2 linked regions of the Caenorhabditis elegans genome follow. The protein of the gene in region 1 interacts with the protein of each later gene in a biochemical or structural test. Each region holds a gene or a part of one and is shown in the gene's direction. Other genes may lie near its edges.

Region 1 (3,795 bases):
GTGGGTGGAGACTGTTTTTTTAAACTATCTTTGTTGGGGAAACCTTTTTTTTATTAATTTCGATGGATTTAATTTGCTAAAATATGTGGAAAAATATATACTATAATGGAAAAATATTTCAAACTGCTTTTAGTTAAATTTTTCAAAAACTTTTTGGAACTAATTTTTAATTGATGTCCTAGGCTTCAGCAATCGTAATTTTGGATGTTTACCAAAAATAAATTTTTCTTTGAGTTTTCGAAATTATTAATTAATTTTATAAATTCTAAAATTTCAAACCTGCAGAGATCCATGAAATTTCTCAAAAAGGGAAAAGTTTCGCAAAAAAAATTTGGCAATTTGCCGAAACTCTGACTGAAATTTTTAAACACTCTATACATTTCTTAAGTGTATGTTTAGATTTTAATTTTTTTCATCGATTTAAAGGATTTTTAAAAATTCCTTTTGACAATGATCCATTTTTATTGTTTTTCTATAGTTCAAGACTTAATTTTTTTTAAATTTAGCCCTCTCCCATTTAAAAAATTTTTCATCTTACTAAACCCGTCCAAACCTCGTTTAAATAATGTTAAGATAAATATAAAAATAGGGCAGTAACAATTTGATCTACCTACATATAATTGTTTTTCAAATTTCTTCTGTTTCAAAAACTTCTTGAAACGGGAACATTTTTCCATTGACATTCATTTTTTTTTCCACGTCAAACTCACATATCAAAACAAAACTGTTCTCCTAAATTTGAGCAAATTCCATAGGAAATATAAAATAATTGTTTCCCAGCTGGAATAACTCGTTGTCCAATCAGAAATCCACTAAGACATGCTCCAAAATTAGTGAATGCCATGTTAATAATGACAATTGAGAATGTTCTTATAATAGACGGACTATGAAATATTGCCACGTGGAGGAGGAATAAATTAACACAATATCCTGAAACAGTCACCAACGAGTTGATAATCAGGAAAATTGCGGATAACATTTTTTCTGCGAAATGTTTTCTTGCTCAGCTTGTGGCTTTTATAAAACTTTTTGCTTGCAGTAGCAAGTATTCATGAATATTCTTCTGGAAGATTTAAGGGTCATTGATGAGGTTCAGTATTTTGTAGTATACATTCTAGACTACACCAGATTGATGATATGTTTCTGGAATTGAGCAAAAACCTTTGAACTGGAATGCCAACTTCTCTAAAAGGGATCCACAATGCAACAAGCTGGATAACCAGTCTTTAGGACATTTAAAACTTAAATATCTTATTCCGCCATAATCATTTTTAATACATTTCTCCTATTTATTTGTTCTTCTATGAAATCAAGTCTTCCAATTGTAGTACATCCGCTTGGTGTCGGTTTACGGTAAACAACGCGCACCAACGGAAAGTTGGAGTGTCGTTGTTAGAATAACAACAGATATTTTCTCATTTCAAATTTCAGATTTTTTTTAGTTTTTGTTGGTTTCAATCGATTTAAAAAAATTATAATCTGAGAATTACTTAATTTGTTTCAATTCTTCATGTAAAATCATCTCATTATCATTTTTCATGCCCTTATCGTCTTATTGATTGTATTTCTTAATAATATTAGCAAGGTAATGCTTTTTTCAGACGATGGAAGTTGATAACGTCAAGCCATCCAGCTCAGTTCCGCAGAGAAACTGGGAAAAAGAAAATAACGTCAGTTTTTCTTAAATATTTTTAGATTTTTAATATTATTTGTGTTTCAGGTCCAAAATGTCGATTCGATTTTCGAGTACAACAACAAGCAGCAAGTAGAAATCAGAAATGCAAAACCATGGGATAAAGATCCACATTATTTCAAACAAATCAAAATATCTGCAATTGCTCTTCTGAAAATGACAATGCACGCGAAAAGAGGTGGAAATCTGGAAATTATGGGACTTTTGCAAGGTCGAATCGATGCTAATTCTTTCATTATTCTTGATGTATTCGCTCTTCCAGTTGAGGGTACTGAGACCAGGTGAAATGATTTACGCTGGGAGTAATTTCGAACATTTTAAATTTCCAGAGTCAATGCCCAAGCTCAAGCCTACGAGTACATGACAGTTTATTCTGAAATGTGCGATACGGAAGGTCGAAAGGAGAAAGTCGTCGGATGGTATCATTCTCATCCTGGATATGGATGCTGGCTATCCGGAATCGACGTCTCAACGCAGACACTCAATCAAAAGTTCCAAGAGCCATGGGTTGCTATTGTTATTGATCCATTGAGAACTATGTCTGCCGGAAAGGTTGACATTGGCGCATTCCGTACATATCCAGAAGGATACCGTCCACCAGATGATGTTCCATCAGAGTATCAGTCGATTCCTCTCGCAAAGATTGAGGATTTCGGTGTACATTGCAAACGATACTACTCGCTTGACGTCAGCTTCTTCAAATCACAACTTGGTAGGTGAAATTTATATTTATCGGGAATGAATTACATAATAAAAATACGATAAAGGACAATCAACTGTAAAATCCAATATTCAAAGCTTTGTTTTTTGGATTGTTTAAACTTATTGGAATCGAATAGCTTGAAATTTTAAACTTTTAAAATAAGAATAATAATATTAAACATCTCAACGGGAAATTGGTCTCAATTGAAAAAGAAACATCTCCGATTCTTTCCCGTTTTAATAATTAAAATTCCAGACGCTCACATCTTGACTTCTCTGTGGAACAGCTATTGGATTTCCACTCTCAGCAGTTCTCCACTCTTCTCAAACGTCGAATTCCTCAACAATCAAATTCAAGACATCAATCAGAAGCTGTCGGCCGTCGATAAGAAGCTCCAATTGAATGACAGAAGTGTCGATGGACATGAAGCTTTGATGAAAGTCGTGACCGATGCAAAGGCAGTCGGAGATGAACTTGAAACTGGAAGAATCTCTCATCTCGTGAAACAACTATTGTTTGCTCGCCAAGCTGGTGGTGGCTGTGGATGTTCCCATGCTTCTGCAGGATCTCCAATGGATATCGCCGTGGCAACTGAACCCGAGAAGGCTGGTCCTTCTCCATCTGCTCCGGAGCCCGCTGTTGAGATGGCCGATGCTTAATTCTCGTTTTGTCTATATTTATAAATCAAGTCCCCCTGTTTTCTGTGTTAAATTCACCAACATCATTTTATTTGAATGAAATTTTTGCTTTTCAATGATTGATTTTTTCAAATTTATTTCCATAAATGAGAGATTCAAACGATATATGGACATATATGAAAATGTACAAGAGTAACTGGGAAGGGGAAGTCTGGGGATGGAGGAGGGATACAAGTTCCAAAAATACAAGAAAAAGAATAGATCTGAGAAATTTGAGAAAAATTGAAAATGACAAAAAAGAAGAGGAAATTGATACGATATTACGAGAGATTTGAGGATATAATAGAAATAACTGTAAAGATCATATTTTTCAGGTGTATGGGGGTGAACAGGATGGGGGGGTCGTGTGGTGCACGTATTCTTTCGTCACGAGACCCGTTTCTATCTATTTGTATGATGATTCGGAGATGTAGTCTGAGCTCCGGGCTCAAATGAAAAACTAGGATACTAATGAGAGGCGACAAGGGGATGGGGATCAGATAATAAATTATCAAACTGGGTATGATGAAGAGATGATAAAACTGTTGCAAGATAGGGGTTGCTCACTTTGTGGGGATTGAAGTGGGTGAGGTATTTCACTGGGAAATCAAAGAATCCGAAGGGAGGAAAGAGTAGATCAAAATGAAATGAGACACGGCAAAGAAGAAAAAAACGATTATTGTGGCGGAATTAATTATCTTTAATTATGTGGCTTTAATAAG
Region 2 (8,823 bases), on another chromosome or scaffold:
GGGAGTCACCGAAAGACGATTTGTCGAAGTACCGTCGTGGGCAACCAGTGCAAGTAAGTAAAAAATGAAAATTAAAGAAAATTCTATTAATCTCATCATTTTACAGAGATAACACTCCGATCTACTAACAAAGACGAAATGGATAGATTTACACTTCATACGGTCTACATTGAGGATGATAAATGTTCCCGAAACACAGAAACTCAAAAAATACAGGGTCCAATTGGAAATGAATGGAGCAAGTCGATTACTGTTCAAGGTGGAAAGACTCTTGAAGCATGTGTTGTTCGTGCTTGGTCACGTGGAAAGAATCCTGTGGATGTTGACATGACCATCGACTTCTTTGGAGTCAAAAAGCCAACTTCTATTTCACTGATTCATGGAGCAACTAACACGCCCATTCGCTTCCAAGCTGCTCCAACGAAAAGTATCGACGTTTCTCCTTCGATTTCTCTAAAATCACTTGTTGTATCACTGAAACCACAATCTGCCAAAGTAGAACCATTGGGACCACGTGATATGTTCCTTACGTCTGGACTTCAAATCAATCGTCTTCTGTTGACTTATCAGCTTAAAGGTAACCTTTTTTAACTACATAATTATTAAAATATTATTTTTTCAGTTCAAAAACCAAGTGAAGTGCAACTTCAACTTGCTGGCCTTACTCCATATTTGTATGAATCTCCTGTGGACTGTGTACTCTTCCAAATTTTCGGAGCAAACAAGTCGTTTGTGGGTGCTTCTTCTTCGTACCCGGATCGTTGGACTCAGAAGCTTGAGAAAGGAGATTATACTATTCAGGCTCAGATTAGATATCCGGATGATCAAGTTTTGCAAGGAATGAAGGAACTTCCTCTGCTGTAAGTAATTCTTTAAATTCTAACTGAAATGATTTTTGTGTTTCAGTGTTCATGTGAAACTTGGAAACAAAATTTCTGTTGACCTCGCAGCTTCTGCCAGCGATGCAACACTTGGAAAAGAGTGCAAATTTGCTGGAAAAGCCCTTCTTCCAAATCAAGAAATGACCGTCTACGCTATGAATATCGCTGATGATAAATTGCCAAAGACTATCGTACCAACAAGTGGAAGTTTCCTTGCTGGAACATTTAGTGCTCTCAAGGATTCTGATTTGAGTGATGTAGACAAATCTGAAGTTATTTACTTTCTCAGTGAGTACTCTACTCGTCCTACGAAAGGATTGTCAATGGTTACAACAAAGAAAGATACGAATCAAAATCAGGAAATGACTGGTAGATAATAATTAAAAATTGTATCTTTTATTAAATTCATATTTACAGACGCCATTCGCGATTTGGAAGTATCATGGGTGCAAAAATTGACAGACGAAAAGGCAGCGAAAGAATTTTTCGAAGCTTGTCTGCAGAAGTATCCAGATCATCTCCCACTACTTCAGAATCGAGTAAAGCAATTGATGCAAGCAAAACTTGTGGATCAAACACCGGAAAACGTGCAGAAGATTATTGAATTATGTGGTCAAATTTTGCAAATCACAAAACCGAATGAAACTCTTCAGTTCTCATCCGTCAAGCAAGAACATGATGATGATCTCCTTACTGTTGACAAATGGCTGGCACTAACCGGAGGCAGTGAGGACCAGCGAAAGGATGTGGTGAAGTTGATTTCACAATTTGAGGAACGGAAGAAAAGTATTATTCTCGCTTTGCAAGCTCTTTCATCATTGGAGCAGGATATTGAAGTTCGTAAGAGCAAGTTCGACGTTCCAGCAAGTCTTCGTTTCGGAGGAATCACTCCTCTAATTTTCGGTGGAAAGCAAGGAGAAGTGATCAATAAGAAGTCTGAAGGTTATGAAGCACTGAAATCAAAATCTGAACAAATTGATGCAACTGTCTCTGAAGAACTGAAAAAGTTGGATAGTAATTGGACTGGAAATCAGTTTTACGTCAAGCTTCTCGTTTGGTTGTCTGCTGATGATACTAAAACTGCACTGATCTCTGCCAAACATGCAGCTGCTCTTGGACAATTTGGAAGATGTGCAAAGCTTCTCAACAAAGCTGGAGATGAACTGAAGTCGTCTGCTACTGATTCGCAAGCTGTTGATACATCATTGGCTGAAGTCTGCGAAAGTCTCGAGTGGAATCATCTTGCTACTCACTTTAAAAATTCGGCTCTGATCAAAAACAGAACCTCCTACCGTCTTTTCTAATTAGTGTATCATAAGAAATTTCGCGGGTTTCTTTTTTCTGGAAGCTTTTTTGCTTCCATTTCCGTTGTGAATCAAATGATTTTCCCATTTGAATAGATAAACTTTTATTGTTTTATAAATGAGATCAAACAAAAATTTTGCAGAGATACATTAAAATTATTAAGAAGAAGAATGTTCGAGGTTGCGACGAATTGATGCATGGCATGTACTCACAGAAGTTCCACCCAGTCATGTGGGTGAGAATCTTCTGATATTGGCAGTATGATTTGACAGCACTATTTCCACATGATTTTCTCACTACTGCTCGCTCACATTGTGTGGTTCGTGATACGGAGCTCAAAATTAAAAACTAATCTCAATAAGTCTGAAACTATTAGACTCACTCGCAACTGCCAACTTCCAAAACGGAACATTCAGTATAAATCGTGTCAGAGAGATCATTCAAACTGATTGCTTGCATACATTCATAATATGCCACAACTGAAATATTTATAAAACAATGAACGAGAATGAAAAACCTCACAATCATTTCCATAATTACAATAGAATTCAAGAAACCCCGTTTGTGAGATGTAATAAGCTGCATTGCTTTCTGAACCAAAAATTGCATTGAAAGTGTTATAGTTGAGACAATCATTGATGACGTCACTATGACAGTGACGTAGAGTTGTATATGTACTGTAATTATTCGTCTTTTTTAAAAATATTTATTCTAGCATGTAAAACCGGTTCTATTGAAATTCTTCAATAATTTTACAATTTAAAAGGTGTTGCAATGTTGTAATACCTTCACATACCTACACATTCCAGTGGCATCGTACCGAATTTTCTTAAATGGATCTTCGTCTGCTGGGGGAAGGCTAGTCACATTTGAACCATATGATTGAAACATATCTATATAACATTGTTGTAGCACTTGATCTTGATCAGAACTGCAGTTATGCAGCACTCCTTCGTTTCCCGCTACGGTTTGCTTCACTAGACCTGCTAAATCAACTTCGAGTGTCTCTAGCGATTTAGTAACGATCGTAACCACAACAACGAGAATATTCCAAATCATCAAATATAGGGAAAGAAAATTTTGTGTTTCGAGCAATTTAAAGTGTTTAGTCTGAAACAGAATAGCTCGTAAAATGTCGTCACCGTCAGTCGACCGGTTTATAGCTTTTCGGGAGGTTGAAATGTGTTTATCAATTTGATATGTTACGGTCCCGGAATTTTCCAAAAATTTTTATTGTTTCTAGTAATCATTAGTAATCAAATTGATAATTATTTTAAATACACTTTTTAATTCTTGAAACATGTGATTAGAATCTCGCATTATTTGAAAATTTCAATTTGGTTACGGTAGACAATGACAAAGTACGCAAACACCAGAGTATGTGACACACTTTCGTCATTTGCGAATTCGATTTTAAATATTATTTTCATATTCCCATTCCTATTTTCTGTGAATTGATAATTTTTCTATGAGTAATCATTCTAATAAAATTATCAACTAATCGACATGGACCAATCAAAGATGCGCAGAACGAATCAGTTCAGAAAAGTAAGTTTTCAGTAACTTCTAAAGAAACAAATGGCCTAAGTTTTACAGACTTCCCAGAAGCCTCCTTCTACAGGGATTGACAGTTATCCGACTCCCGCACAATCACCAATGGCGCAGCATGAGACACCTATGTGGGACTTCAACTCTCTCAACCCGTATTTCTCAATGCTCAATATGAACGATGGGATTAATTATGCTCGCCATCAACAGAATCACATTGTTACATCGCGGCCACCAACCCCGCTAACTGATTTGATGAGCCTTCGGAGTTTTCAGAGCTTTGTAAGTTAGAGTAGGCAATTTTTGGTTGTTTTCATTACTGATTTGCAGCCCAATGTGTTCATGCCGGTCTCGCGTAGCCGAACTTCATCATTCATTCAGTCTGATACGGATTCCTCGCGTCTCGAGTCGGATGATTTTTCACAAAATGTCCGATGTTTCTCTGCGGATATTGATCGTAGCAAGAGCTATGGTTCTTCAAAACACTACCATTTGAAATATTCGAGGTTCGAATTAATTTATCACTATCCTCTAGTATTTATTCTTTTTTATTTATAGACCCGCTCTGTCGAGGAACTCTAGATCATTCACAAGATCAAACAATGTGCTGCCAACCTGGTCCTTGGATTCCAATGGTGAAATGCGTTCAAGATTGTCGCTCTCTGAAGTTTTGGATAGTGGCGATTTAATGAAGTTTGCCGTTGACAAAACTGGGTGCCAGTTCCTAGAAAAGGCAGTGAAGGGCAGCCTGACATCTTATCAGAAGTTCCAATTGTTTGAACAAGTTATTGGGAGAAAAGATGATTTCCTTGTAAGTTTTAGTTTCTGCGAGCACACATGACTTTTCTTTTCAGAAATTGAGCACGAACATCTTTGGAAATTATTTGGTACAAAGCGTTATTGGAATTTCATTGGCAACTAATGATGACGGATACACAAAGCGACAAGAAAAGTTGAAGAACTTCATCAGTTCCCAAATGACAGATATGTGCTTGGACAAATTTGCGTGTCGTGTTATCCAATCCAGTCTCCAGAACATGGATTTATCCCTTGCGTGTAAACTTGTTCAAGCTCTACCTCGTGATGCTCGTCTTATCGCAATCTGTGTTGATCAAAATGCCAATCACGTCATTCAGAAAGTCGTAGCAGTCATCCCACTGAAGAATTGGGAGTTTATTGTGGATTTCGTTGCCACCCCAGAGCACCTCCGTCAGATTTGTTCTGATAAGTATGGGTGCCGTGTTGTGCAAACTATTATCGAAAAGCTCACTGCTGATTCAATGAACGTTGATTTAACTTCCGCTGCTCAAAATCTTCGTGAACGAGCGCTCCAACGACTCATGACTTCTGTGACTAATCGGTGCCAAGAATTAGCTACGAACGAGTATGCCAATTACATAATACAGCATATTGTATCCAATGATGATCTGGCCGTTTATCGGGAATGTATCATAGAGAAATGCCTCATGTGAGTGTTATTGTTTAATATCTACTTGATTTTTAATCATCAATATTTCAGGCGCAACCTTCTTTCGTTGTCCCAGGAAAAGTTTGCTTCTCATGTTGTTGAGAAAGCATTCCTACATGCACCATTGGAACTTCTTGCCGAAATGATGGACGAGATTTTCGACGGATACATTCCACATCCGTAAAAACATTAGTTTCAGTCACATAAAAATGAAATGTTTTTTCAGGGACACGGGAAAAGATGCCCTCGATATCATGATGTTCCATCAATTCGGAAACTACGTCGTTCAATGCATGCTGACTATTTGCTGTGATGCTGTGTCTGGAAGACGGCAAACGAAAGAAGGAGGCTATGACCATGCAATCTCATTCCAGGATTGGCTGAAAAAGTTGCACTCGAGAGTTACGAAAGAAAGGCATCGCTTGTCAAGGTTATCACTATTGTCACAATAATATTTTGAAATTCGAAATTCAGGTTCTCATCCGGCAAAAAGATGATCGAGACGCTTGCCAATCTCCGTTCAACTCATCCGATTTATGAACTCCAATCTTCGGGACACGATTCATTCAAGACGGATTACTTCAGTACTGCTTCCGAGCACGATGGTCCGGAGTTGGAGAAGAATGGGATCGAGGAAGGAAGCCTGATGCTAGAGCCACGGAGCAATAAGTCTTCAGTCTCTGTCAAATTTTCTTCTTCCGGTAGTCACGGCGATGATTAAGGTGGAACTTTCTCACCATAAATCTCATCCCACCCACTTATGTTCTGTTGTTTTGTAATATTTTAAACTGGTGCAATGATTTCGTTTCGATTTTAAGATCGATGTTGTGCCTTCCCCACTCTTATCATTGCCCAGTTTTGTTTTTTCTTTTCTTTTTTGTTATTTTATTGCTTTTTATGCAGTTGTGTTATTGTTTCTTTCTGTTTACTGTTCATTGTTTTTGTTAATTTTTTATTTTCGATTTTAATGAATCCAGATAAAATTAGACAACTTGGCAAAATATCGTTCGAGTCTTTGTCATGCTTCCACCGAGAGCTTCCTGCTTCCATACAATGCCTGCTCAGAAAACAATTTTGAAAGCGAAGAGAAAAGTTGTTCTTTGCTCGGAGAACAAAAAACTGATAACCGACAAATGTTGACTTTGTAAATTTAATCAAATTAGAAACCATGAAGAATAAATATAGTTCAATTATCATATTGAAATTTATCTTACAATTGCATCGATTTCAAAATAATGGGACTCTCAGAAAATAGAAAAACAAAAATTGGATACTGGGGATGAGGAAGAACTCCGCGAACATTGGCGGTCCTTCTCTCATGTGGTCCTCGTATAGGTGGTGGCAATCCTCTCATTGTTATCCAACATCGAGAAAATGTTCTTCGGCTAGAACTCTGAAACAAAAATACTTTCAAATTAAAATTGTCAAGATAAATTCGTACTTCCTGACACAATTTGTGTTGTTGCAGCGTTGAATTCGATTCCAAACCAAGTGGCAAGACCAAGACCCAGCAATGATGATGGAATAGTTGAATTGACAGAATTCCTCGAGCATATCAGCAATGGATGTTGATGCAAGTGGATGCAATGTTCTTCTTTTGTTTCTCATCAACGTTTGCCTTATGATTGTGAAGTGACTTGATGAACTCTCTCTGCCATGCTTAAAGAACTTGTTCAGCAGCAATTTCGTTCCATGCATCAATGTCTAATCCAGCCTTCATAGAGTTTCTTCCAGGCTTCTGCTTGAATCTCAAGAAAACATAGGCGGGGCTTGCAACGAGAAAAACTGATTGAAGAGCATCATCTCCTGATAGTTTTCCTCCCTTCTTGGCACGTCTTGGATCTCCTAGTATCATATCTTCAAGCCAATTAAGAACGTTAGATGCGAAACCAGAACATCCACTGTGTATACATATTCATCACTTCGGACCATTTGTCTTTGTTATCTTTCAACCATTCGAAAACAGACTTCCGGTATTATTTATAATCTGAAACATGACTTTATATTTTAATAGAAAAACGAATTTACTTAAATACAGTCTTTCAATTCTCTGGCTTTTTGCTTTTTCTCTTTTTCTTCTGCAGCTCTGGTTTCCTCCGGTGACAAAGTAGTCGTAGTTGGAATAGGAGCAGTTGTTACTGGAATATTTGCTGGTACTGCATCTTCAACTGCTGGAATCGCATCTACTGGTCTTTATTCTTAATCTTAAATTTTATGGCAAATACTGTTTTACTACTTGATCTTTTACTATGTATCTCTTTTACTACAAGATCTCTTTTACTACGGAATCTCTTTTACTACGAATTCCGCATTTAGATCTTTTACTACAATTGGCTCTTTTACTACGTGATCTCTTTTACTACCATTTGACCACATATATCTTTTACTACGGAAAATACTTTTTTACTACCTCATTTTTTACTACGTGGATCTTTCACTACGGTTTTTTATTCCGATGTTTTGCTACAGTTTGTATCTTTTGCTACGGTAGACATTTTTACTACAATGGCAGGGATTGTACTTTTCACTATGTTTCGTATCTTTTACTACTAATTTTTTACTACGAATTAAAAATTAATGTCTATAGTATTTTATATTCTAGATATAAACAAATGTATGAATTTTTTTTCAAAATACATAGGTCATAATTGTAGATGGAGTTAATGGAGGGAGACTGTTGAGTTACTGTAGTGGTATTGTGGAAATAACAGTTTTCAGATTATATAGTGTTTTTTTTAATTTCTGGAAATTTATTCACTATGAAATGAGCAGAACTTATTATGGCCATTTGGATCTAGAAATTAAAAAAAACACGATATGATCTCTTGCTCTCTTGTAAAACTTTTGTAAAAATTTCAGAAACATTTAAAAAGTCCTCTATAAATGTTTTAAAACTCAGAAGATTTTCTGAAAATGAAAATGTAGGTATCCTATCTCGGTCGTCAATTTATTTGTCATAGTTTTCAACTACAAAGTTGTTGAATATGGTATGATCTACGATTTGTCAGTTGAACATTTTTTTACCAAATTGTTTTTTCGCGGAGATATCGGTACTTGGAGTCAATACGTTTTATGAACTAACTTTTGACAACTTATCTCCGTTTTTTTTTCAAATCTAAAATCGTGATATAAACATTCAAATTGACCGAAAACAATAATAATTTTATACAAGATTCGATAAATTTAGAAAAAAAACATTTCTAAAGTGTTGATCAAAAGTTTCAAAATGTCAGCTGAAGTCAAAATTTTAAACACCTGACAGATAACTGACCGAACCCGCAAGTTTTTTATTACATTATAGACTTATACATATAGACATTATAGACAAAACTTATAGAGCAACGGGTATGGAACTAATTTGTTGGCTATGCGAAAAAAAAAAGAATTACTCCCACAATACCACTACAGTAACCCAACAGTCTCCCTCCATTAACTCCATCTACAATTATGACCTATGTATTTAAAAAAAACTATTCATACATTTGTTTATATCTAGAGTATAAAATATTATAGACATTAATTTTTAATTCGTAGTAAAAAATTAGTAGTAAAAGATACGAAACATAGTGAAAAGTACAATCCCTGCCATTGTAGTAAAAATGTCTACCGTAGCAAAAGATA

What was found. Proteins that work in one complex are often made in the same cells at the same time.
Region 2: the proteins of csn-5 (region 1) and fbf-2 form a complex in vitro, tested with the Caenorhabditis elegans proteins (one study listed by BioGRID).

Annotation. Positions count from the first base shown.
Region 1 is NC_003282.8:5,647,932-5,651,726, forward strand, and holds csn-5 (COP9 signalosome complex subunit 5), read left to right. Parts: upstream 1-1,601; 5' UTR 1,602-1,604; coding exon 1,605-1,670; intron 1,671-1,720; coding exon 1,721-1,974; intron 1,975-2,022; coding exon 2,023-2,405; intron 2,406-2,651; coding exon 2,652-3,055; 3' UTR 3,056-3,148; downstream 3,149-3,795. UniProt on the Caenorhabditis elegans protein: Probable protease subunit of the COP9 signalosome complex (CSN), a complex involved in various cellular and developmental processes.
Region 2 is NC_003280.10:6,086,242-6,095,064, reverse strand, and holds fbf-2 (Fem-3 mRNA-binding factor 2), read left to right. Parts: upstream 1-3,584; 5' UTR 3,585-3,692; coding exon 3,693-3,734; intron 3,735-3,782; coding exon 3,783-4,016; intron 4,017-4,064; coding exon 4,065-4,240; intron 4,241-4,292; coding exon 4,293-4,545; intron 4,546-4,588; coding exon 4,589-5,202; intron 5,203-5,253; coding exon 5,254-5,382; intron 5,383-5,428; coding exon 5,429-5,632; intron 5,633-5,676; coding exon 5,677-5,923; 3' UTR 5,924-6,202; downstream 6,203-8,823. Other genes in the region: tpp-2 (Tripeptidyl-peptidase 2), read left to right, coding at 1-53, 107-577, 623-860, 907-1,250, 1,299-2,185; nspg-3 (DUF19 domain-containing protein), read right to left, coding at 2,310-2,520, 2,569-2,665, 2,709-2,863, 2,983-3,245. UniProt on the Caenorhabditis elegans protein: RNA-binding protein that binds to the consensus sequence 5'-UGUGCCAUA-3' in mRNA 3'-UTRs. Involved in the control of stem cells and sex determination in the C.elegans hermaphrodite germline.